Nothobranchius furzeri: one gene and its partners. The protein of the gene in region 5 purifies or fractionates together with the protein of the main gene of each other region. This does not show direct contact. Links are inferred from orthologs where the notes say so. Each region holds a gene or a part of one and is shown on either strand. Other genes may lie near its edges.

The links.
Region 1: the proteins of cullin-5 (region 5) and asb7 purify together in Homo sapiens (affinity purification with mass spectrometry; 6 studies listed by BioGRID and IntAct, counting the BioPlex papers as one, with this or other methods). This does not show direct contact. The link is inferred for Nothobranchius furzeri from reciprocal best matches to the Homo sapiens genes CUL5 and ASB7.
Region 2: the proteins of cullin-5 (region 5) and spsb3b purify together in Homo sapiens (affinity purification with mass spectrometry; 4 studies listed by BioGRID and IntAct, counting the BioPlex papers as one, with this or other methods). This does not show direct contact. The link is inferred for Nothobranchius furzeri from reciprocal best matches to the Homo sapiens genes CUL5 and SPSB3.
Region 3: the proteins of cullin-5 (region 5) and suppressor of cytokine signaling 6 purify together in Homo sapiens (affinity purification with mass spectrometry; 5 studies listed by BioGRID and IntAct, counting the BioPlex papers as one, with this or other methods). This does not show direct contact. The link is inferred for Nothobranchius furzeri from reciprocal best matches to the Homo sapiens genes CUL5 and SOCS6.
Region 4: the proteins of cullin-5 (region 5) and asb6 purify together in Homo sapiens (affinity purification with mass spectrometry; 6 studies listed by BioGRID and IntAct, counting the BioPlex papers as one, with this or other methods). This does not show direct contact. The link is inferred for Nothobranchius furzeri from reciprocal best matches to the Homo sapiens genes CUL5 and ASB6.
Region 6: the proteins of cullin-5 (region 5) and cops8 purify together in Homo sapiens (affinity purification with mass spectrometry; 3 studies listed by BioGRID and IntAct, with this or other methods). This does not show direct contact. The link is inferred for Nothobranchius furzeri from reciprocal best matches to the Homo sapiens genes CUL5 and COPS8.
Region 7: the proteins of cullin-5 (region 5) and wsb1 purify together in Homo sapiens (affinity purification with mass spectrometry; 4 studies listed by BioGRID and IntAct, counting the BioPlex papers as one, with this or other methods). This does not show direct contact. The link is inferred for Nothobranchius furzeri from reciprocal best matches to the Homo sapiens genes CUL5 and WSB1.

Annotation. Positions count from the first base shown.
Region 1 is NC_091749.1:7,481,911-7,484,757, forward strand, and holds part of asb7 (ankyrin repeat and SOCS box protein 7), read left to right. Parts: intron 1-855; coding exon 856-917; intron 918-2,184; coding exon 2,185-2,396; intron 2,397-2,847. UniProt on the Homo sapiens protein: Probable substrate-recognition component of a SCF-like ECS (Elongin-Cullin-SOCS-box protein) E3 ubiquitin-protein ligase complex which mediates the ubiquitination and subsequent proteasomal degradation of target proteins.
Region 2 is NC_091756.1:32,878,185-32,882,428, reverse strand, and holds the start of spsb3b (SPRY domain-containing SOCS box protein 3), read left to right. Parts: upstream 1-1,444; 5' UTR 1,445-1,529; intron 1,530-3,213; 5' UTR 3,214-3,277; coding exon 3,278-3,445; intron 3,446-3,880; coding exon 3,881-4,064; intron 4,065-4,244. Other genes in the region: cytosolic Fe-S cluster assembly factor nubp2, read right to left, coding at 540-655, 915-930.
Region 3 is NC_091747.1:53,422,716-53,427,009, forward strand, and holds the start of suppressor of cytokine signaling 6, read left to right. Parts: upstream 1-1,494; 5' UTR 1,495-1,724; intron 1,725-2,131; 5' UTR 2,132-2,201; intron 2,202-4,161; 5' UTR 4,162-4,287; coding exon 4,288-4,294. UniProt on the Homo sapiens protein: SOCS family proteins form part of a classical negative feedback system that regulates cytokine signal transduction.
Region 4 is NC_091757.1:35,486,485-35,490,733, reverse strand, and holds the start of asb6 (ankyrin repeat and SOCS box protein 6), read right to left. Parts: upstream 2,801-4,249; 5' UTR 2,730-2,800; exon of another isoform or gene 2,703-2,729; intron 2,359-2,702; 5' UTR 2,326-2,358; coding exon 2,216-2,325; intron 2,066-2,215; coding exon 1,881-2,065; intron 1-1,880. UniProt on the Homo sapiens protein: Probable substrate-recognition component of a SCF-like ECS (Elongin-Cullin-SOCS-box protein) E3 ubiquitin-protein ligase complex which mediates the ubiquitination and subsequent proteasomal degradation of target proteins.
Region 5 is NC_091750.1:28,001,917-28,005,416, forward strand, and holds part of cullin-5, read right to left. Parts: intron 188-3,500; coding exon 11-187; intron 1-10. UniProt on the Homo sapiens protein: Core component of multiple cullin-5-RING E3 ubiquitin-protein ligase complexes (ECS complexes, also named CRL5 complexes), which mediate the ubiquitination and subsequent proteasomal degradation of target proteins.
Region 6 is NC_091747.1:24,680,976-24,683,649, reverse strand, and holds the end of cops8 (COP9 signalosome complex subunit 8), read left to right. Parts: coding exon 1-49; intron 50-133; coding exon 134-196; intron 197-1,759; coding exon 1,760-1,839; 3' UTR 1,840-2,174; downstream 2,175-2,674. UniProt on the Homo sapiens protein: Component of the COP9 signalosome complex (CSN), a complex involved in various cellular and developmental processes.
Region 7 is NC_091753.1:17,149,049-17,151,517, reverse strand, and holds part of wsb1 (WD repeat and SOCS box-containing protein 1), read left to right. Parts: intron 1-869; coding exon 870-1,042; intron 1,043-1,474; coding exon 1,475-1,588; intron 1,589-2,469. UniProt on the Homo sapiens protein: Probable substrate-recognition component of a SCF-like ECS (Elongin-Cullin-SOCS-box protein) E3 ubiquitin ligase complex which mediates the ubiquitination and subsequent proteasomal degradation of target proteins.

The DNA of each region.
Region 1 (2,847 bases), on a different chromosome or scaffold from region 5:
TCAGATACGGGAACTGTCCGGTCAACACAAGCCCTGCTTTTAACTGTTCTGTTTTCTTGTGAAAATTGTTGCAAAGAGATCAAATTAAACTTGATTAACACCAGAGCCAGGCGCACTGCGCCGTTATCTCCGTCACTGTAAACGAGGGGAAAACAAATGGATCGCATTGATCTTACCTTCCCCACCTACAAAGTTTAATTCCAACAATGAAACGTGACAGAGCCTGGATTTGTATTCTGAACAGTTTAAACATGTTTTAAAAAGAAACGTATGACAAAAGTGGCACCTGCTCAGTAAAACCACCAACAGGGTGAAAAATATCAACATACTGTAGGCAGAGACGGGCTACAACTTCTGGATCCACTTTATACACCTAGTTTTATTTATTATCTTCTGTTGAAAGATAACTGACAGACACCAGTGAACGGCATTGGCTGCTGACACCTGTTGTGATCGGTTAAAGCAGCTCTCTGCTGTGGCTCCCAGTGTTTTCTTTACTGTGGGAAACAGGTAATAATGGCTCTTTGACGGGAACAGGTTGCCGACGCCTGGGTTAGGAGAAGGTAAACAAAGGCTTTGCTACTCTGAGGTAAAACAAGAATCTGAACTTGATATAGAATCAGGTTTGTCTGAGCAGGGACATGTAGAAAACATGCAGCCGGGGTTTGTGTGTGTGTGCGTGCTACTTTCACTGATGTGGCATCACCGAATGTACACCTTTTTCACCCTTGACCCGTTTTAATGTCTGCTTAGCCTATGTGTGTGTGTGTGTGTGTGTGTGTGTGTGTGTGTGTGTGTGTGTGTGTGTGTGTGTGTGTGTCTGTAAGGCTAAACTGTTGTCTTGTGACTTTACAGCGTCTTACCGAGTGCAGCAGCAAAATGACTAAGCGAAGTTCGTCTCTCCAGCTGGTCAAAAGGTATGTTTTGGTTTCAGTCTGACAGTTATCCGAGTTAATACTAGAAGTCTTAATGTTTCCAGCTTCTTCAAACCCAGACAGCAGTTAGTTCACTAACTGAGGTTTAGTTGGTGCTTTTACATGAACATTTCCAGTGTTGGATAAGTTACTTTAAAACTACATTATTCATTACTTACTAAAGCAATGCGTATTACAATATTACTGATTTTTAAATGTAAGGCATTACATTACTTTCACATTACTTTTAAGTTATTCTCACCAGGATAACTGCAAGTAAGGATTTGGCAATCTAAACGTAGCTCATGCCGCTCCATTAGTTCATTACCTCTCCAGTGGAAGGTGGTGGTATCTAGCTGAGCTGGAACTGTGAATACTGAAAAACTTCTTCCTGGATTGTCTACTTTTTCACAATATGAGCTACTTTTGAACGAAGCAGTTGAGGAATCTATCAATCGCAAAAAAGGCAAAATGCGCACTGTGCGCTCGCGGCAGTACGGTGAAATCACTGGGGCACAGGTTCTGAACTTCGAGGCAGAGCGTGTCAAGCATGAATAAAAGAGAAAGTACCGAGACAACTTGAGCGGACATGAACAATCGCAGGAGCGCCTGAATGATCGGCAGTCTCTCCGCTCAAAAGAAGTCCAGGTACGCTGAGTCCATAAATAATGTAATATCGATGGAAACTGGATCTGTGAAGAAACTCCACCACTTGATTCTGGGTTAAAAATGCATCTTAACGCGCGTTGCTGACATATGTACCAAGTAAAATACTGTCGTTTTTATTTTCTGTAATGCCTTACTGCGCTACAGGAAGAAAAATGCATTACAGTAATTGATTACTTTTGTAATGGAATACTCCAAATAGGGCTGGGCGATATGGCCTCAACTCCATATTGCGATATAATCTGAAGCATGTGCGATCATGACTGCAATATATATATATATATATATATATATATATATATATATATATATATATATTATGTCAAAATGACATGCTTTAAAAAATCCTCATATGGAAAATATATGGCAGCAGAATAAAGACGTCCAAAAAGTGTAGAATGCTCCTCCTCCTCCCGCTACATGCCTGCAGTCACTGCCATTCTGTTGTTCCAATGTTGGCGCGGGTGCACATCTTAGTGACATCGTGTGATATCGCGGTAGAGCCAAAAACTTACCATTACCCAATTTTATATCGTTTCTATCTGATATCGTGTATATTGCCCACCCCTAACTCCAAGCACGGAACATTTCCTACATACTGCAGGATGCTGAACCATCACTGCAGAGGGAACCCTGATCTTCACGAAGAACTACAGATCCAGGCTGCTGTAGCTGCTGGGGATGTGTGCACCGTTAGGAGGATGCTGGAGCGAGGATACTCTCCTCAGATACGGGACGCTAACGGCTGGACTTTGCTGCATTTCTCTGCTGCAAAAGGGAAAGAGCGATGTGTTCGGGTTTTTCTGGAACATGGAGGTGATCATATTTGCCGGGCAGCCCACTCAAATTCTGCTTTTGTAATGTTGGATTTTTCTAACTGTAGCAGCCAGTGAGTGGTCTCACAGCTGTGGGGCAGGTAGCTGTAGACATCCCAAAGCCTGTCGCACACCAGAACAAACCGCAGAGCAAACAGTCATTCCAGGACGTTTGCTTGGCAAGATACGATTTGATATTTTCCGCAACAAAAAAAGTAGAGGCATTTCTTCCGCTTCCAGCTCCGTCTCCGTTTAAAACAGGGGGCTGCCATCTTGGAATCATGTGAGCAGAGAACACTCTTTGATTGGCCATTAGAATATTTCAGCTCAGCTGGCAGCTCACGCTGTGTGCACACATTGAGTTTTTACCCCACGTGAGGCAGAAATGTTCAAACCGGTTTGATTTTCACCTCAGCGAGGTGAGGCAGAAAACCGGGCGCACACAACGAGGT
Region 2 (4,244 bases), on a different chromosome or scaffold from region 5:
GAGGGGAACCGTATCAGCCAGTTGGGCGCTAGTGGCAGTGGAGAAGGTCCGGCCCAGGATAACAACAGAGTTGCTTGTATTTTCCTGGGTCTGCTGAACAGTTGTAATCCTCTGCTCTAGTTCAAGGACTCTTCGAGTGAGGTTGAGACAGCTGTCACAGCCAGGGCTACAGGTGAGCGGAGGCATTGGGGGGGTCACGTACATCCCACACACTACCACTTCAGAAAAGTAAAAACATGTAATAAAAAACAATTGATAATTAAAACTGCACACCGAGCAGCGTTTAAAAAAGCGGTATGCAATTACTGTGCCCAATGTTTAAACGTAAAAGTGATAAAATCCGTGGAAAAAGAACAGGACCAAGTATGGAGATTTGTGGGACACCCCTGGAGAGAAATGCATTGGTGAAAACAAGTTATTGGTGGTGACATGAACACTTATGTTTGAAAGGTATGACTTGCTGCTCTAACCATGAGATGAGGACATCTCTGAGTCACCAGAGTTAAAAAAAAAAAAAAACAGATGTGATATATGCTCACCTTTTTGTCAGCATGTCTGAGAGCCAGGGCTAACTCTGTGGTGATGGTGCTCTTCCCCACGCCTCCCTTCCCTGATAACACCAGAACAACATGACGAACCTGGGACAAGTTCCCGTCTGACGTGAGGCAAAGAAAACCAAGACGTCACAATGACAAGAAACAATGAACTGAGACGAAATAATAACAACAATAAACTCTTTCATTTCACTTTGATAATTAAGAGCAAGTTAATCTTAAGGAGCTCTAGTTAGCTGAAGCTAATAAGATACTTCGACTTTTTTAGGCATAAAATTAAACAGATAATGTAAGAATTGACAAATTTCAGAAGAAATCCGGACTTATTTTGTTTCTATTTGATAAACATCCTCCACCTACCATTATTCTGTTCCATATTTTAGATTTAGGGCTAACACGAGTTCGGTAACAGAACACTTCCTGTACGTAGTCACGCACCAATCACACAGCTCATGCTGCATCTTGGCCCCGCCTTTAAAAAAATGCAACCAATAAGAAACTAGTTTTGAAAATGATAGATTCAGGTGCGTCTCATACTGTAAAATATTTAAGATTCGATGGTTGGAAGAAGAGTAATACGCTTCCGTAGATTACACACCAACTGATACTTTTTCTTAGTTTTCAGCACGATTTTATTTGAAATTCTTTTGCAGCTGATTCATCAAAGGATAACACAAATTATACGTTTAGAAATTATTTTATATCACGTTTTGTTGTGTATAAAGTGTTGTTTTGTTGTTAAAATATGTTCAGGTCAGCACATCTCACATGATGCGTCATTGAGCAGCAGACGTAAGCAATAATAAGATGTACACAAACTCCTCCCCCACAAAGGTTTCATCCAATGGGAACACAAAGGTTGTGTTTACGTCTATCCTGTGTGGAAGTGGGGCAGGGTGCTCACTGCAGCTGTCACACAGACGCACAGAAAGGCGAATGAGCTACTGCTAGACTGCATAAGAAGACCAGTTTAAGGTAAGAGCATAGACTCACAAATGTTACCATGTGCTTTAAAGTGTTTTAGGATGAAGCAGAACTTTTGCAGAACTCGCTGCAGCTGTGAAGTTGTGACTAGAAGGTACGATTCTGCAGCGGGACAGTTAAAAGTGACTACAACATCTTAAATGTTTGTGTCTTAGTTGTTATAATAAAGCTGCCTTTGAGTTTATTAAATTTATTTCCTATATCCTTGAGCACACTGACTCACCAGTGTTCTGTCCATACTCAAACCTCCAGCTGATGCATTCAGAAGATATGGGGTAAGGCTCAATTAAAATGAGACTTGCTCTAGACTGACTAATCTGAATTAATGGGCAGCCATCCACTGCACCTGTTTGTGAAGCAGCAACCAGCTGCTGTGTTCAGGACTGGAATTAACAGAAATATTTCCATCAGGTCGAGGGACAGAATGGGGTCAGTGTATGCGCCGATATGACATTTTAGGGCCGATACCAATATCCGATATTAATATCCTTGTTATGGCCGATAACCGATATACTGACACCAACGCTTCTAAAATCAGCAATTTTGTATAAAATGAAAATTATTAAAGCTGAATTTACATTATTATGTACACACACCACACACATTTACACTTCTGAGATGATTACAATCACTGTTCACACGACTAAACAATTACACGTCACCCCATCACCCTCTGAAACAGGCAAACAAATGGAGACAAGATGGAAAAACTATCGGTTGTTAATATCGGCCCGGTTTTATTTATCGAACCAATACCGATTTGTTGATGTCGATATATTGTCCATCCCTAGTTCAGCGTTTTAAAATGAATCTATTACATCTGTTAAATCTATGCAACATAGAGGTTGGTTATCAGATAAACAGAACTCTGCATTTAGTAAATTAGCTAAGATTTTTAAAAATTGATATTAGACTCAGACGTCTAAAAATGATGCCATTCCTGTTTTTTCTTTTCACTAAATAACCCAGCTGTTACACCTCTAGTGTAAAATGTGGCAGTTTGTTGAATAAGATTGGTCTTTTCTGTGATTTCTGACTTATATGTTGGGTCAAGTGACTTCCAGTAGAAAGCACTGGATTTAAAGGTTTTAGCGTGTGTGGAAGGACTTCCTGTTGCTAGCTGTGCTATATGGGAGCAGATGGCAGGAGATCCAGGACACACAGATCGTTCATGTTGACTGGCATGTCATGCAGCTTCAGCATGACTCTTTCCAGGCACCAAAACTAACAGATTTTCAAACCGACCCATTTTGAGCTGCCTGACAGGATTTTGAAATATAAAGAAAAATGTGGGCGGACACAACTGAAAAGTACAAAAAGATTTTAAAAGCCAAAGCTACCTAAAAACATTCTAATTTGATTTATTTCACAGTTTTCTAGGATCTTTCAGTGGTTCCCAAAGTTGGGGTCAGGACCCTACTGTGGGTCACCAAGAGCTATACAGGCAGTCTCGAGGTGATTTCGAGAAGTCAAAATAAAACTGAAAAACGATTACTGAAGCTATATTTCTAGCATAATTGTTACAAAAACTCCACTAACGTCTCATAAATGGATGTAAGTGAACATGAGCTGAAGCAGTTTTTATTATGCCCTGAATTATTTGACTTTTTAAGCATTTTTGTGTCGTGAAATCAAAAATATCTGGGCTCACAACTGCTATTTTCTGGGTCTGAAGTGGAAATGTTTGGGAACCACTGATCTAGATCACCGCTGACCTTAAGAAGTGCACAGCCTCCAGAATGTTTGACAGCTGGTCACCAAGTCTTGTGCCGGCTGTCCGTAGAGCTGCCATGCTGAGAAGAGGCAGAAACAGCAGAGCTCGACACGTGGCCTGGAGTGACCTGAGACAGGAGACAGATGTCCAATCCACTGACGGCGAAGAGTGTCAGAGCCAGACAGAGACACAGGTGAGACTAGAGGTGCAGAAAATCACAAATATCACTTAGATGAGCAAGAAATTGGTTCCTCTGGATGATAAGAAGTGATTAAATCTAGTGTTTTGTCGCTAGAACAGGTGAAATCATAGATGTGCTCCACAAGTAAACAGAGGAAATCACACACACACACACACAAGTAGAAACCTTTTGGAGAAAACACAAATTAATCAGAGGTTAGCACATGACGCACACGTTTAGGAATTTAAATGATGGTTTTCTCATCTCAGCCTCTCTACCGGGTACAATCTCTGGCAGAAGCTGTCCACAAAAGCCTCCCCGCTGTTGGTTGGATTACAAAAATGTTCAAAACAAACCTCACATTCTAGAACCAGTCCCTCTCCTCGCTACTAAGGATCAAGCACGGCTACATCTGAGGACTTAAAATGTGCTTTTTGTGTGAAACAGTTTAGTGACTTGGACTTGGAAGTGGAGGTGGAGGTGGACAAATGTCACACCACACCCAAGCTGGAGGCTCTACCGTGCACAGCTCCGGTGACGGGGGAGTCGTTCTGCCACTGTGTGCCGCAGGACGAGGTCGGGCGAGGCTACAGGGTCGACAGTGACTGCTCCTGTGGGGAGGAGGATCAGGGTGAGGACAGCTTTGTGAAAGAACAGACATTCACAGTCTGACCATACTGTGGAAGCTTGTGATGCTTTGTGGACGTCTGCTCTACATAACAGTCATGTTTCTTTCTGCACAAAAAACGGGTTTGTCTTTTAATGTTAAATATATAGTTTTCATATGTATTAGAAAAACTCCACCAAGTCT
Region 3 (4,294 bases), on a different chromosome or scaffold from region 5:
TGCAAATCAGCCATCTTGAATTAGGCTGGCGCCAAAAATTTATCAATTGTAGGTGTAAATGTTATACAGATCTATGGACTTCCAATAGAATTCATCCAGTGTACATGCATGTGCACACACACACACACACACACACACACAAATAGATAGAGAGAGAGTGAGAGTGAGAGAGAGAGAGAGAGAGAGAGAGAGAGAGAGAGAGAGAGAGAGAGAGAGAGAGAGAGAGATTTAGGCAAAAACAATTAGCATTAGCAATTTAGCTTGAAGTAATATTTTGCATTAAAACATTCCAAAACACACATGAGTCTTTGTTATTGGCAGATAAACGTTCTTCAGATGTACAGAAACCACTTTTTGCTAAGCTTTCTTCTGCTACCATCCTATGTGGTGTGGTGCTTGTGTTTGCTTTGCACCAAACCCCCCCTGGTGACATCAGTAGAGGAAAAGAAACACAGGGAAGTGGGAAATTAGTTATCAAGCTGTGGCTGCAGCTTTATTATTCATCAACCAAGACTTTTAATATTAGATGAAAACAGCATGAAGAACAAATTTCTTTGTGTTGAAAATCTGTTTGTGTTTATGTTTTGCATATATAATGTATTTGTCTAACGATCCTTTTGCTTAACCATGACAGGGAGGAGACCAGGACGTTGTGAAAATTGAAATACTTTTGAAAATATGGACTCCGGATAAACGGACAAAAAGGGACGGATGGATGGATGGGATTCCAGGTCTATGATCAGCCTTGAGGTTCGTTTTGGATATCATACAGTCATGGTGCTCCATTCTTGGGTCTTTCACATGGATACAAACTGTTTATACTGCTGATTTTGTCCACATACCTGTCTCAGACTTCTTTATTTAACGCATCCCTGTATATTCCACATCCTTTTTGGGATTTTAACATGTAATTCGTAAGGCCACTAACATGTTTGCGCACATCTCAGAATGCAACTCAAAATCACATGAGATCACAAGCCCTAATCTCCTAATAAGGAGATAGTCTCTGATTATTATGAGATAATTAAATCATGAGGAGGAGTATACATTTGTAATCAAAGTGGTGGGAATGGGCTTCCATACTTGGTTCCTATTGAAAGAAGCAGTACTGAAACCAAATGAACTTAAAGTTTCAACAAAACTTATGTGGATGTTCACAAAACTGTAAGCATATTTTACATTATCATCACTTTATAATTAGGTTGCATATCTACTTATCAACAAATTGCAAACAAACAAGTGTATTGTTATTCTTTTTAAGATGATGTTAAGGCTTTTTTTTTAGATGAATGCATGTGTTTGTTTTTAGATGTGATATGTGAACGCTGCAGCTGATTCGCTGCATGTGAACGCGTCCTCTGATTCAGCTCCCACAATTCAACAGGCAACAAAGGAAGAAAGGAAGGGGCCGAAAGCTACAAAGAGTTAGCCAGCCTAGATTAAAAGATGTCACATTAATGAGCAACTGTAGTCGTCTAAATACTCCCGTGATGAAAGGAAACTAAAAATTCACCCATGCTGACTCTTTTATATTTTTGTTTTTGGTACAAAAGCGGACTTAAATGGCAGCGGCGCTAATGTTTTCCACATAAAACGCCAACGAAGCTAGGCTAACATTAGCCAACAATCGTCCAGGAGCGAATCTTTATACGAACGTGTTTTTAAAAGAGTCCAGAATAAAGTATTTGGTTTATTCTCCCTGCAGTACAGCGTAAAGTGGCCAGGTAAGCGAAAGTGTCCTGCACTTTTTGTACGTGTTTAGAGAATAAAAATCACTTTTGTAGTGGGTTAGCTTGACAGTTTTAGCTTAGCAGTCGCCTAGCTAGAAATCTGTTATAATAAGCGGCTTTGTGGCAGAGAACTGCTTGTTTAAGAAAAAAAAATACCAGTGCTGATGGAATATTTGTTGGAACATTTATTAATGCTTCTGTATAAGTGCAATGAAAGCAACAATGTAACGAGTGGAGCTAAGCTAAAAGCATGTGTCCCTAGGCCTTTCTAGGTCAAGTCAGACCTCCTCAACTTTGGCTTATTGACAACGTTTTTATGATTATTGTGTGCATATTTCCACAGGAGCATGTTTTAAATCTAAACTACATATATTTTAAATGAACTGGCACTTTTTTCCCAGCAGCAAATGAAAGGTGGAGGAGGTGGAATTTGACCCAACCAACTGAGTCACCATTTTCTCCCAGATAATGGTGAGTAATCAGATTGCAGCCCTCTTGATTATCAAGCAGCTTCGGTTAGGAGCTTCATGTGCCAGATGTCCCTCAGTACTATGGCCCTGCTTTATTAGGGCAAAGTGTCAGATAAACTGTGGAATTAATTTGTCTTTAGGACATTTGCGTGTGACATATTTGGCTCTGTAGTTGTCATGTGGCTTTAATAGGAACGTTTAGTTATGTTTACATATCTGTCTGTATTGCTGAGCCAGTATGGGATGTATATAAGGTCAGTGGTGAGCTGAGATCAACCAAAAGATCTAGAATTTTCTCAAATTTCTCCATTTACATACAAAGATTCTGCCTGTACAACTAGCATCTTGTCTTGGTGAGAACAGCGGATTAGGTCAACTGGTGCTAAATATTATGTATGAATGCCTCTAAATTAATTAAAAAAAAATAAACATGCAAGACAGCGGCATTGCTGCATATTTCTTCAACTGTGGTTGAACTTCTGAACATAATTTCTTGTGTAATAGTCACAAGATGCTCTTGCGCTGTCATGTGGGATCCTTTGAAACATCTCTGAAAATGTTTGAGCTGCTGTTATTGTGTTTTAAAAGCTTCTAAAACAGGTAAATAAATTTTAAAAATACCATTTTGCATTTGAGGTGATAATTTATATCAGTTTACAACCATTTTGTTGAACTTTTCTTGGTTAGGGTGCAGTGTTTTTAATTTCTGATGAATCTTTTACGTCAGCATAATAGAAAAATTGAAGTAATTTCATGTTTGCATGAAAGATGCAATAATTACTTGACATATGTGCGTCCAGGAATCACTGCATGACCAAAAACCAGCTTGCCAGTTTCATTTTTAGTAATTGTCTTTTAACCAGGTGATCAAATATTTCACTGTTTGGAGTTTTGATCAGTGCTTGTACTTTTGAATGGTCCTAAATATGGATGTCGAATATTATCAACTGCTGTTGACATTGAAATACAATATTGTAAATTATCTATCGGTTTTTACTCTTTTAATGAGTTTAGATGTCATGCACGCATTATATAGCAAACTCTTCAGCTACTTTTCCTCATTCAAAATGTCAAAATATGACAGGTCTGAGGTTTAGCAATCTTTTTGTTTGTTTGGCACAACTTTGAAGAAGTAGAAATTTGTTGTGTGCATTTGTCAGGATTATCTCAGGGAAAATGTGATTCAGCTGGCCATTGCCCAACTTAAATCGAAGTAGTTGTCATATTTTGCAATGGTAATGTTTAAAGTTTAAGTATGCATGATAGAAGATATGTGATGTTATTTACCTTAAATGATTGTTTTTCCTTCTTTGTTGGGAGACCTTGTATATATGGCATATGGTTGACTGTATTGGTGTAACGGACAATGGTGAAAACGCCGATATCAAACATTCCTAGAGCTAATCTAATTTTTGTTCTAGTCATCTTTTTCAAACACATTAGCAACCTGATTATTTTAGGTTAACTGTTCTCAGTAAGTTCAAATATTCACATCAAAACTCATTAACTAAATTTAACAGATGGATGGATTGAAAAGCACTGTACACTGAAAAAATATTGTCACAATAAATCAGATTTATTTCATAGTCTGAAGTTTGATAAGTGCTGCGATTCCTTTAGGCGTGTCCAATCATCTCCTGCCAAACAAGCCGGGCTGAGGTCCTTTTTTATTCACCAACACTTGTAAAGGTAACAGGTAGCTGCATAGAGTAGCCAATGGGTAATAATTGCAACAAGTCCTGAGGTAAAAGTATTTTTATCTTATCTTTCAATATGATATCACATAATAAACTGTTTACAAAATTAGGAAAGGTGAAGCGAGAGCTCAGATTTTTTCCCAGCCAGATGCAAAAGTCAAACTATATAAACGACAAATCTTGCCTTAAATATATTTTAAAACTTTCATCTTTCACCCTGAACCTACTCTTAACAGAGTGTCTTTTGTCTTTTTCTCTCACCAGGGATTTATGGCGCCACTGTATGGATGACTTGTTCCATGTGGCCTGATGGGAGGACGTTGTGGATAGTGCTTTCATCAGGATACCAGGAGAGCCGTCCCATGCCCCCACTTCGGAGGGCCTGTCAGAATGAAGA
Region 4 (4,249 bases), on a different chromosome or scaffold from region 5:
CCCTCGAGACTTTAAAGGTTACGGTTTGTTAATGCAATCCACCATAAGAGGAGGGGTACCCAGAGTAGTTTTGGCTCGTTAAATAACAACAGACAGCTACAGCTTATAATTTTGACTCTCCCATATTCCAGTTAGAATTGACAAAGCTCCTCAGATGAGAAGTGAAACATCTTTGAGAAACCAAAGAAGTCCAGTTGCCCTCATTTGAACCTTTTTGGATTACCATGACCTGGATGACCGAGAACCTTCACCAGCATACAATCCACTATTGAACAAAAAAAGAAGGAAATCACGTCGTTATCGCTGTTTGATGTCATAAATTATGTTGTTCCTCTCCACTGCCAGGATAAAAGCCACGAAAACACACCGCTGCACTTTGGGAATGATGCTTTGAGTAAATAAACCGTTAGGTCACACGTAAGCTTCATAAATATGTAATTGCTTCACTGCAATACTTTTATTTAGAAAATTACTGGGGATTTTACACTGAAACTGATTTCCTGTCTAGCCCTATGTTAACTGCGATAATTGATGCATCCCAGAAGCGACTCACCACAAAAATAGAACCCGATCCTACTATGACGGTGCGACATGCTGCTTCTGGGACATGTCTGAAAATTGCCACACCGCGGCTGCTTTGTTACACTCCATTGAAAATAATGGATTTTATTTGAAGCAGTGCCGTTTCGCACCACTGACGCTTCCACTGTGCAGTAGGGGTTAAACTTACTGCACATTGGAAGCAAAAGTGGCAAGGTTTCACTCTTAATACTGACTGTAATTTCAGGTGGTCTCCTGGCTTTCTTTGCCATTTTGCACATTGTTACCCTCCTTCATGTATTTAATACTTTTTCCCTGTGTTATTTGTGTAAGCGGGGTAAGTTATATGTAAGTGATGTGTAACTTTATTACACATAATTTATGAACTTAAAAGTTTAGATGTCTTTGAATGAATTAAACACTTGAGTTGAAAGTGACTGATGGACATTTTGTGTCAGTAACTCATTTAGAAAAACGCTTACTGATGAAATTACTGATGTGTCCAGATAGGAATATCCAACCTCTGAAATGAGGGGTCTGTTGCTATGATGTGCTGCAAAGTCAAGTGCATAAAAATGTTTCATTCATACTTTAAATGAAGTTAAAACAAGTTAGTAAAATACAAAAAGTTTGAATGCATTTTTGATGACATTGCTGGTGTTTCAGCAGGTTCTTATTGTGTTTTTAGCAGCATTTATTATTGAGTTTTTAAACACTTTTATTAAATTGTTTAAACTCTAAAATTTTATTCATTTACTATTTTACTTAAATTTAAATTTCCTAAAACCATCTGCTTAATAAATGCTCTAAAACAACTGACATTTATTTTGATTTACCAGTTTTATAATGAAATGTTTCAATGCTGTGCAATGCACAAAATTAAAATTGATGGGTTGGTAAAATTCAGTGTTCAAAAACTGATTTAGGTTCAGAAATGTACACCCATTCTTGTTATTAACAAAATTTTAGCTTGCAAATAAGGAGGAAAACATCTAAATATCAGCCATGAAAATTAGCCCAAAGAATCAGGACCAACGATCAGCCATCGGCTAAACATGACCTTTACATACATGCATCTGATTCTGCAATAGAAAAACCCATATCAGAGACATGCAGCAATGAGATGAAGAGAAGAAGTTATCTACACGTAAAACACACATTTAACACTTACTACAAGGTAATATTGTAACAACAACCAAAGAGCATCTATGTCTCAATAAACATTTTCAGTAAATTTAGTTTTTGATATATTTGTGCATTACCGCACATCCCTAAATGAGCAATCCTCCTTTTTCCTGGAGTGTTTGCAAACTTGGACACACTATCCAAGGATGACTCACCTTCAAAGTTGATATCAGCTCCATATTGTAGAAGGATTTCTGCGGCATACTCAAGTCCCCGCTCGGCCACTTTAAACAGAGCATAGCTGATGCCTTCCAAAAACACTTCAGACTGGGACTCTTGTTCCAGAAGCTCCACCAAAGAGCTGCTTCTACTGGACTCATCCTCGGGACTTTTGGCACAACTGAAAGATAAGTAAATGTCTCATCCAAAGCTTTAAAAAAAATCAATTTATATTTTAAATGCAGTGGTTGTTACGATACAGAAACTGATCATGATATAAAAAAAATTACCCGTTAATGTAATGTTGTTGTTTTTTTTTTAGCAGAATTACCTGGTGTCTTGACTGCCATCTTCTTCCTCAAGTCCAACAACACGCATGACAGCATTTACAAGCGGCTGATACTCAAAAATGATCCTCCGGAACCCGTGGAGGAAAGGCATGGTTTTTACACTTGTACACACTCCAACAAAACTCTAGCGTGGCCAGAATCCAAAAGAAAATCAAAAAGGAGATGTGTCAGCGCGACTTACAGAGCGGGATTAAAAACAACGTGAGTTCAGCGGACCTCCATGAGTATGTAACAGAGCAGAAATTATGTAAAAATTGTGAATAAAACGTCTTAAATAAACGCTATCTGTTCATAGAAAGTAGGTCGATTTTGTTATCTCCCCGTGAACATATTTACCTCATTCGTTCATAAGACATCTAAAACTACAGATAATTGAAGCTTCACTGATTAAATTATTAGCTTTAATTATTTATACATTATCTTTGTCAAAAAAAGTGAATTTACTTAATGGATGAATAAAACTCTTACAATAATACAGTGCAGACTGGTACTTACGAGCCTTTGATTTCAAAACAGGAAGTTAACATGAACACCCCTGTGGTCCCACGGTGATTGCCTTCCCATTTAAACTGCATGACTAAAGTTCCGGTTTGCAGTGTAAAATAAAATAAAATAAAATAAAATAAAATAAAATAAAATAAAATAAAAATCATGTTGTTTTATATCTAAAAGGCTATGCGTTCAATTGGGAACAATGCATTCTAGTAATAAAAAAGGAAGCAAACTAAGAACCTATAGATCTGTTGAATTTATGTTTCTGAGCACTAACTTTGGAAAGATGTTGCTGACACTGATGAAACAGACGATTAGGCTAATTTGATTAAACACAAGCAAAGAAAAAGAAGCTGTTATGATACGTTTTATTTGTAATGTAGAACTTGGTGTCGGCTTTGAAGGAAAGATGATAAAAAAAATTGCAAAGCTATTAATTCCACTTCCATATGGAGAAATGTTTAGTAAAATTACTTGTTCTCTATTCAAATTTGATACTAGCAACTCACATGTGTAAAAGTTATTGTCGGGACACAATTGAACACTGTAAACATTTTTTTTAACAATAAATAATTTTCACTAGTCTAAAGATGGCCTAATATAATTTGGTATAATTTGCTTTAAAACCCTTCAAATGTTATTTCACTTGAATGAACATGTAAAATGCTGTCTCTTTCACTTTGGAGACACATTATTAAACTGTGGGTGATGGAGTTTCAAACTGCTCAAGATGGTCTTTAAAAGTTTCTTTTGAATGATTAACAGGCATTTAAAACATTAGTGTGGTAAAATGTAATAGGCTGGTTTTTGTTTCTGTGATTTAGATAATATTTGTGTTTGAATTTCACCCATTTTTTTTTCCAATATTAAGTTAGATTTCTCCTCCCTAATACAGTTTTTGCAGCTTACATTCATCTCCCCAAACACAACAGTACCATTAACATTTAACATACCACTTTCATTCAGCAATCAAATCACTGATAAGTTAGTAACTGACATGTCAGTTTTGACCAAGAAATGTTCTTTGTTTGTTTTTCACTACTGCAGTCATCTGGTGGTACTTTTTGTTTTAATTATTTGTATCTCCATAAGGTACATTATTGTCCAGCAGCAGGAATTCCAATTTTTACTACTTAATTTCATTGACAGCATCAGTTTTCTAACGTTTGCTTTTGTCCTGCTCAGCAAACGAACCCCTGAGTTGGTAACAGATGGCTGTCTTTGAAAACTACTGAGAAGGGCTCTCATACAAGATGTCACTTTTGAAACATGCACATTGTGTTTTCTGTGTGAGCTAACGGCAGCAAATTTGAACAAAACATATGTTGTTCTTGTCAGACTGCCTCGGGTATGTAGAGACGCAAAGGATCTGCTCTAGGAAACCCACTTTAATGTTTCTTTGCTTATGATATTAGGACAACTTTGATTTGAATAGCTGTAGAAAAAATAAGGAAAGATGCCAATCAAAAAATCTTAAAGTAAAACTCTAAAAACGACTGTTCTTTGAAACTTTGGATGCAGTT
Region 5 (3,500 bases):
GACTCCTCACTTTGCGGACAATGCTGTCCTCAACGTTGGACTTCTTGTTGCATCCTTGCTTTCCCATCAAAGTGATCTCCAGCTGGCAGAAGGGTTTGGGCAGGATGTCACACTGCGTAAAAAACTTCCTCCACTCCACGATGTAGGCTTTTAGCAGCGCCGTGTCATCCTGGTGACTCAGCACCCGCTGAGGAAAACGTGACAAAGCAAACCGCACACACACAGGATTAATCTTAACTCTGCGGAACATCTACTTATGTTATAAAAACATTGTGATTGTTTAATAATATCAACAATCACAGCAGGACACAGATTAAATCTTAAAATGAAACTTCAGTATTCTGAGTATGAGCAACATAAACATCAAGGATTTTGTAGAAGAGCCGATGTCTCTGAAGGCACATCCTTTGGTCTTTACTCTAAACTCCTAAAGAGCAAGTCACCCCCTACCAGATCCTTACTCAACTCCCGCTTCCTGTTTGAAAAATGCAACAAATGCTGTTGCCTAGCAGACCGAGAGGGCGGAGCCGCTAACAAATACACGCACACAGGCTCTCAACGGCATTGTGACATCATATGGTACCAGCTAGCGTTCTAGGGTACCTCTTAGCCAATAGCGATGGCAGATTTAAATTCAAATGCAGTGCAGAGTTTTTACCTGACAACGGCACAACACTGACAGTTTTAGGTACAAAATAAAAATGTTAGCTAAGATGCACTAAAGTGCAAAACTATTGACTGCACGTGTCTGCAGCACGATTAGACACGCATGTATATAGTTTATCAGAAAAAAAAGTTGATTTGGAGTAGGGTTGTCACGGTAACCGGTATAGCGGTAAACCCCGGTAAAAAAGTTGACAATAAAAATAACCGTCCTGTTTTTTAAAGACTAAATTATCTCGGTGGGTTTACCGTGGTCGCGGTTTAGGCGCGGTGACCCTTACCAGCCACCGTCGCTTCTGCTGAAGTTCCCGCGCACACGCACTTTTTAGTTTGCAACCAAACCTTTGAAGCTGAAATAATGGCCGAAGGAGCAGACGGCAGCGCCCAGGACATCCATCAGCCCTCAAAGAAGACTAAATCGGAAGTATGGGCATATTTTGGATTTCTGAAAAATGCTGAGGGACAGTTAATAGAAGACGGCTATCCCGTTTGCAGAACGTGCAGGAAACAAGTGTCTGCAAAAGGCAGCAACACTTCGAATCTGATGGCACATCTGCGTGACCATCACCCACGTCTCCACAGCCAGTGCAAGGTAAGTTAACATTAGCAATTTAGCTTAAATGCATGACGTGAGGACTTTTGGTTGAGGGAGAATACAACGAGTCACTATATACTGCAGCCGCAGCGCCCTCTGCCAGCATTTAAACCGTGTCACGGACACCTCCATATCAAAATGATGTTATGCATTATGGCTCCCATGGCGCAGATGAGTTGGTCGCCACTGCTCACCCGATTATTATGAATTTAATAATGGTTACTGCTTGATGACATTTTCCCTAATCTGCAATGATATGATATTTCATATTAACTTGAAGGACCCAAACCGAGGACGATAATATTTTCCTGATATAGTTTTTTTTAGTTGTCTGAAACTGTAACACATTTCTGGCACTATAATTAGTACATTTAATACCCTCGAAGTGATCAACAACGCATAGTTATAATGAAATATTGGAAATGATGGGAAATATGCCTTGAACTTCCTTTAAAATGCCCTGTGAGATCATACATTTTTTGCCAATCCTTTTCTTTGGAGTTAGCAAAAAAAGGTATAGGCAAACACATCGTATGTACAGTGGGGCAAAAAAGTATTTAGTCAGCCACCGATTGTTAAGTTCTCCCACTTAAAATGATGACAGAGGTCAGTAATTTACATCATAGGTACACTTCAACTGTGAGAGACAGAATGTGAAAAAAAATCCATGAATTCACATGGCAGGATTTTTAAAGAATTTATTTGTAAATCAGGGTGGAAAATAAGTATTTGGTCAATAACAAAAATCAACTAAATACTTTGTAATATAACCTTTGTTGGCAATAACAGAGGTCAAACGATTACTATAGGTCTTTACCAGGTTTGCACACACAGTAGCTGGTATTTTGGCCCATTCCTCCATGCAGATCTTCTCGAGAGCAGTGATGTTTTGGGGCTGTCGCCGAGCAACACGGACTTTCAACTCCCTCCACAGATTTTCTATGGGGTTGAGGTCTGGAGACTGGCTAGGCCACTCCAGGACTTTCAAATGCTTCTTACGGAGCCACTCCTTTGTTGCCCGGGCGGTGTGTTTGGGATCATTGTCGTGTTGGAAGACCCAGCCACGTTTCATCTTCAAAGATCTCACTGATGGAAGGAGGTTTTGGCTCAGAATCTCACGATACATGGCCCCATTCATTCTGTCCTCAACACGGATCAGTCTTCCTGTCCCCTTAGCAGAAAAACAGCCCCAAAGCATGATCAGTGTATCTGCAGGTTTAAGGGAGCCAAATTTAAGACTTTTTAAGACCTTTTTTAAGGCCACTTTGACCAAATTTAAGCTTGTCGTCGTCTTCCTCCGCTTATCCGGGTCCGGGTCATGGGGGCAGCATCCCAACTAGGGAGCTCCAGACCGTCCTCTCCCCGGCCAACTCCACCAGCTCCTCCGGCAGGACCCCAAGGCGTTCCCGGACCAGATTGGAGATGTAACCTCTCCAACGTGTCCTGGGTCGGCCCGGGGGCCTCCTGCCGGCAGGACATGCCCGAAACACCTCCCCAGGGAGGTGTCCAGGAGGCATCCTGACCAGATGCCCAAACCACCTCAACTGACTCCTTTCGATCCAGATCCAAATTTAAGCTATTTTTAAATTAATTTTAAGCTATAATTTACAGCTATTACCTGGAACCGGTGCTAACCACGTCGCAAACATGGGATTAGCCATCCAGTTACCATTAAACTTGCACTTCTCCATGGCGCAAGCTCCCACTAGCTTAACCAGCTAACGTGCTCATCTAAAAATAGTCCCCTTTCACAACCAACTGAATGTGTACGGTTCCACTTACGCCAACATCGTACACAAAAAAATGCTGAAATTCACGAAAATGTCATAGAAATAAAATAATCTAGTTTATTGGGTCTTTGGTAATTTAAAACCTTTGCAAACTGTATTTAAGGATTATTTGTCATTTTTAAGGATTTTCAAGGCCTTAAATTTGGAAAAGTAAATTTAAGACTTTTTAAGACTTTTTAAGGACCCGCGGATACCCTGATGATGTTCCCACCCCCATGCTTCACAGTAGGTATGGTGTTCTTGGGATGCAACTCAGTATTCTTCTTCCTCCAAACACGACGAGTTGAGTTTATACCAAAAAGTTCTACTTTGGTTTCTTCTGACCACATGACATTCTCCCAATCCTCTGCTGGATCATCCATGTGCTCTCTGGCAAACTTCAGACGGGCCTGGACATGCACTGGCTTCAGCAGCGGAACACGTCTGGCACTGCAGGATTTGATTCCCTGCCG
Region 6 (2,674 bases), on a different chromosome or scaffold from region 5:
GAGGACTTCGCTGCCTTCGTGGGCTACTCGGTGGATGAGGCAGTAAAAGGTGAGCTCATGTTTACACCTGTGTTGTTTTAACAGTGATCCACACGTGTGTTTAATTCTGTTTACTGATGTTTTCTTTGTGAAGGAGTGTTGAGTCAAGGCTGGCAGGCAGATCCCACCACCAGGATGGTCATGCCCAAGAAGCCAGGTAGGGGGCGCTGCTGTCTTAGTCAATCTGTCTTCTTCTCCCTTGTAATCCTTGTGAGAGATTTATGGATTTTTCCCTTTAGAATGTTTAATTTTTCAGAACTTTCCAACATTTTGTCTCCTAGTTCAGATAATTTATCAAGATTTAAAAACTGTTAGAAGTTAGACGGATTCGTCCTCACTAGGGTGTAGGGAGGAGGAATTAGTCATGTACATACACAGGTTACACACACACGTGTGTGTACACATACACACGCACGCACACACACATAAACACACACACGCACACACATGTGTACACAAACACACACACGCATGCACACATACACGCACACACACACACGCACACACATGCACACACAAACACATGCGCACACACATACACATGCATGCACACACACGCACACAAACACATACACACACGCATGCACACACACATACACACGCATGCACTCACACACACATGCACACACACAGTCTCCAAGAAAATTTTGACTTTGATTTTCAGTTTCAAAATAAATTGTTATAATCAAATTTAACTCATTCACTGCCAATACTGTGTGGGCATCAGGACGAGCCCCCGCACCGTGAGAACAAACATCTCAGCTCTAAAGCTGATCTTCATCTGCATACGTCACACGTCACGTGATCAGGAAGCAGAACATCCATGTGTTAGGAGATCGTTTTGGGCCCTTGCTGTAAAAAAAGTGAGGCACGAACTGGAAAAGCTTCTGATCACAATTCAACAACGATTTATGAAAGAACGGATAACGCTCGAAACGCGCAAATTCTCCCTCATGTAACTCTGCTCCAACACACCTGATTCCAGTCGGCAGGTGATTAACAGGCTTCTGCAGAGCCTGATGAGCTGCTGCAGGTGATTCAAGCACTGAATCAGCCAACCCTGACCGAGCACGTGACCGAGCACTAAAACGTGCCGGTACTGCCCTTCGAGGCGTAGAATTGAATACCCCAGCTTTATAGTTTATAGAAAAGGTTTGTAGGTAAAACTGCTGCGAGGAATTCTGGGAAGTTTTTTACGGCTAAAGATGGAAGTTAGCGTTTGAGCTTAAAGAATTTCTTTGTTACACAGCAACCTTATTTTGTGAAAGGTTTGATGTCACAATCTCCTTCTGTGTGTGAGTAGGACTTGTGAGACCGTAGTTCTTTCACAAAAGGCATTCTGGGATTTGTAGGTTGTTGCATCTTTCCTGTTTTATTTCACTTTTTTAAAACTTTTATTTTGACATTTATTTTCCTCACAATAAGTTTTTTATTTCTCATATTTTTACAATTTTTTAAATCAGACTTTAGACATTTTTGATAGTTTGTTTAACATTTAGACTTTATTTAGATCCCAGCTGATCTCTTAGTGGCGTGTTTTTAGCGCTGCCTCTAGCGTGCTCTGTGGTTTTCTATGTGAGGTCCCTGCCTGCCCGTGTGGTACCAGACAGGTTAAACGGCTGGTTGTAACTGGAGCCTGAACATGTGGGCCGTGGCTGCAGAGTTGAAACCAAAGAGCGATGGGATGTTATCACCCCTCCACCTCCGTCTGTTCCAACAGATCCTCCTCCGGTCGCCCTGGTTCCAAACGAGCAGCAGTTGGCCAGACTCACCGACTATGTGGCCTTCCTGGAGAACTGAAGCTTCAGCTGCAGAGTTTCACCTGTTTGGTACCGAAGAAGACGGGTTTGGACGGACTCTTGGTCCATCCTGAAAGACCTGGCTCTCCCGGTGGAGAATGTTCTGGTTCACTTGGAGTTTATCGAGTCGGAGACTCGTTTTTCTCCTCTCCCTCTTGTCATGATGTGTACATTTGGGTCTGAGCTCAAAGTGTTTCTGACTGTTTTTGTTTCCAGCATAATAAACTCGTCCCTCACAAATGCTTTATTCAGGTTCAGCAGCTAAAAGTTAGCAGGAGTCCTTCCTGACCTCGTATTTAAGTTGCTGTTGATGAATAAATATTCTGCTGTTTCTAACCACTGACTGGTCGTGTCTCGCTCGGCTCAGCACGTTGACTTCACTGACACAAATGAGTCACATACAAGGCCATAAATGTGTTGGTAAGTGGATATTGGAGCTAATTATAAAACAAAATCTGATGAAGCATTGGTGTAAATACATCTGGCCACCGGCTGCTCATCACTGCCACATAGAAGGAAAATCTGTATTTTTAGTCCTCTTCAGACCGTTTGTAAGCATCGTGTCAGAGCTGGGAGAAGATGTGGTTTAGTGTTCATAACTCTAGTTACCGCCTGATATGTTTTTATAATCGCACATTTAAATGCGGACGATTTCCTTCTGCATGGATCCTTCTTAGAAATACGATAAGTAAAATGTTTTCTCGTTTATCTCCTGGTATAAATCCGTTTGATTCTAACAGCAGATCTGATCCAGGATCTGTCTGTGCTGTTCTCACAAATAGGAAGTCACTCGTGTTGAGACATGTTTTACAGCAGCTTGCCTCCAGATCTGAACT
Region 7 (2,469 bases), on a different chromosome or scaffold from region 5:
TAGTCTGACTCCTAAAAGCACAGCCAGCGTTACTTAACCAGCAGCGGCACACGGCCCTTCCTCCGTAGCTGCGTTTTAGCTTCCACATGCCAGCTGTGTGGAAATCACCAGTCTGGTGTGTTTACTAAGAACATAGGATTGTTGTAGCTTGTAGCGATGAAGTAAATAAAGTATTTAATGTGAATATTTCTAAAACACTAAATCAATGTAGTCATCTTCTATAAACCACTGGATGTTTGTAGTTATCATGCAGGAGTAAATCTGTAGTTCTCTAGTAAAAAAGTTACTTCAAAGTGACAAAACTCTTCTAGGAACAATTATTTATGTGTGTGTGTGTGCGTGCGTGCGTGCGTGTGTGTGTGCACATGTACTTGTGTACTTTGCCAGGGGTATGAGACCTTTGGCCATAAAATATGCTTCTCTCTTGCAGTATCTGTCTCTTCCTAGGCTTCTGCTGGAGCTGAGCCTAATGTAATCACAGAGAACTAAAACTCTGAAAGGGGAATCCAGTGGAGTAATTTATGTTATCTTAAGTTACTACTTGTTTCTCTCTTTTTTTAGTTTGATTTTTTATGTTATAATGCTAGAATTAAGTGAATTTTGTTTAAAATGTGTAGATCCAAATAGGATGCTGTAGTTCTGATTAAGTCTTACAGATAAATTAGATGTCACGTGTTCACCTAACGTAGCCTTGCTGGTTATGTAGCATGTTCTTCATTTGATCCCAGTTAGAAAGCACCAGAGACACTGAGCATACCTGTTTAATTCTGACACAATTCTCTAGTTGTAGTTAGTTTAGCTTTTAGGTGAATGTTGAACGTAAATCCACCTGCTGTCCTCTCATTTTATCACCTTTCTTCAACTTGCAGGTGTTCCTATGGAACATGGATAAGTACATGTTAATCCGGAAGCTGGAGGGGCACCACAATGATGTGGTGTCTTGTGAATTTTCACCAGATGGGGCGCTGTTGGCCACAGCCTCCTACGACACCAGGGTCATTGTGTGGGACCATCACAAGTCCACCATCCTTCTGGAGCTGGGGTGAGACGTGTGTGTGTGTGTGTGTGTGTGTGTGTGTGTGTGTGTGTGTGTGTGTGTGTGTGTGTGTGTGTGTGTGTGTGTGTGTGTGTGTGTGTGTGTGTGTGTGTGTGTGTGTGTGTGTGTGTGTGTGTGTGTGTGTGTGTGTGTGTGTGTGTGTGTGTGTGTGTGTGTGTGTGTGTGTGTGTGTGTGTGTGTGTGTGTGTAATATCCCCTGCGTGGTTAAACCTGTCTGAATACATTCCATAACAGCTTCTGTTTCCAAAACAGCACACCTATTTGCCACAAGGTCACCCTCTTAAAGGGGCAGTACATGCTGATTCTAATGAACGTGTTAATGATTGGAGATGGTTGAAGTTTTTCTTGGATGACGAGTCCAGACAGGTGAACCAACTCAACCAGTAAACACGCATTTAACCTGTCCTCCCTCTCCAGCCACCTCTTTCCTCCCCCGTCACCCATATTTGCTGGAGGGGCGAACGACCGCTGGGTCCGCAGTGTGAGCTTCTGCCCGGATGGCCGCCACATCGCTAGTATTACTGATGACAGGTGAGAGCTTCTGGGTCTGGGTTTAACGTAAGCGGTGTGTAAACTACAGGTCTGTAACCAGACTGGAGGAGGGTTTGGGTTGTTGACTCATGTTTTCTAGATGCTGCCACTCTACTCTTGTTGTCTTGCATCAGTCTCGATCCTACAGGTGGTCTTGGGATTTTCACAACTTTCCTATAAACTTGAGGATGTTTTCAGTTAAAGCTGGCACGGTGACTTGAACTGGTGTTGCGAGCTCAGAAACAAGGTTTCAGTCGTAGATGAGATCACCAGGTCAGGTTTAAAGCTGTATCGGTCCCACCCCCGACTACTATCTCTCTCTCTCTTCTCAAATGGAAGTAGAGAACATTTGGCTCTTGTTCGTCTGGTTCTGGGTCACAGCACAGTCACATGTTAGTCATTCATCACAAATTCTGCTCCAGCGAGAGAAGTTATTAAGTAAACAGCTGGGAGAGAAGCAGACGGTGGTTTGGAGTTGAGATTTTCTTAGAGCAGACGAACAAACTAAAGCTGCAGGAACAAGTTACGTCCAGAAAAAGAGAGAGCTCCAAGCAACCCTGTTGTTTGAAACGTTTACTAGTGCACCCTAGTTCACAAGTCCTGACTCGCATTGTCACATTAACAGTGACACACACACACACACACACACACACACACACACACACACACACACACACACACACACACACACACACACACACACACACACACACACACACACACACACACACACACACACACACACACACACACACACACACACACACACACACACACACACACACACACACACACACACACACACACACACACACACACACTATATTCTATGTGCTACTAGTCTTGAAGTCGGGCTGCAGCTGAACCTTTAGTGTGGGTAA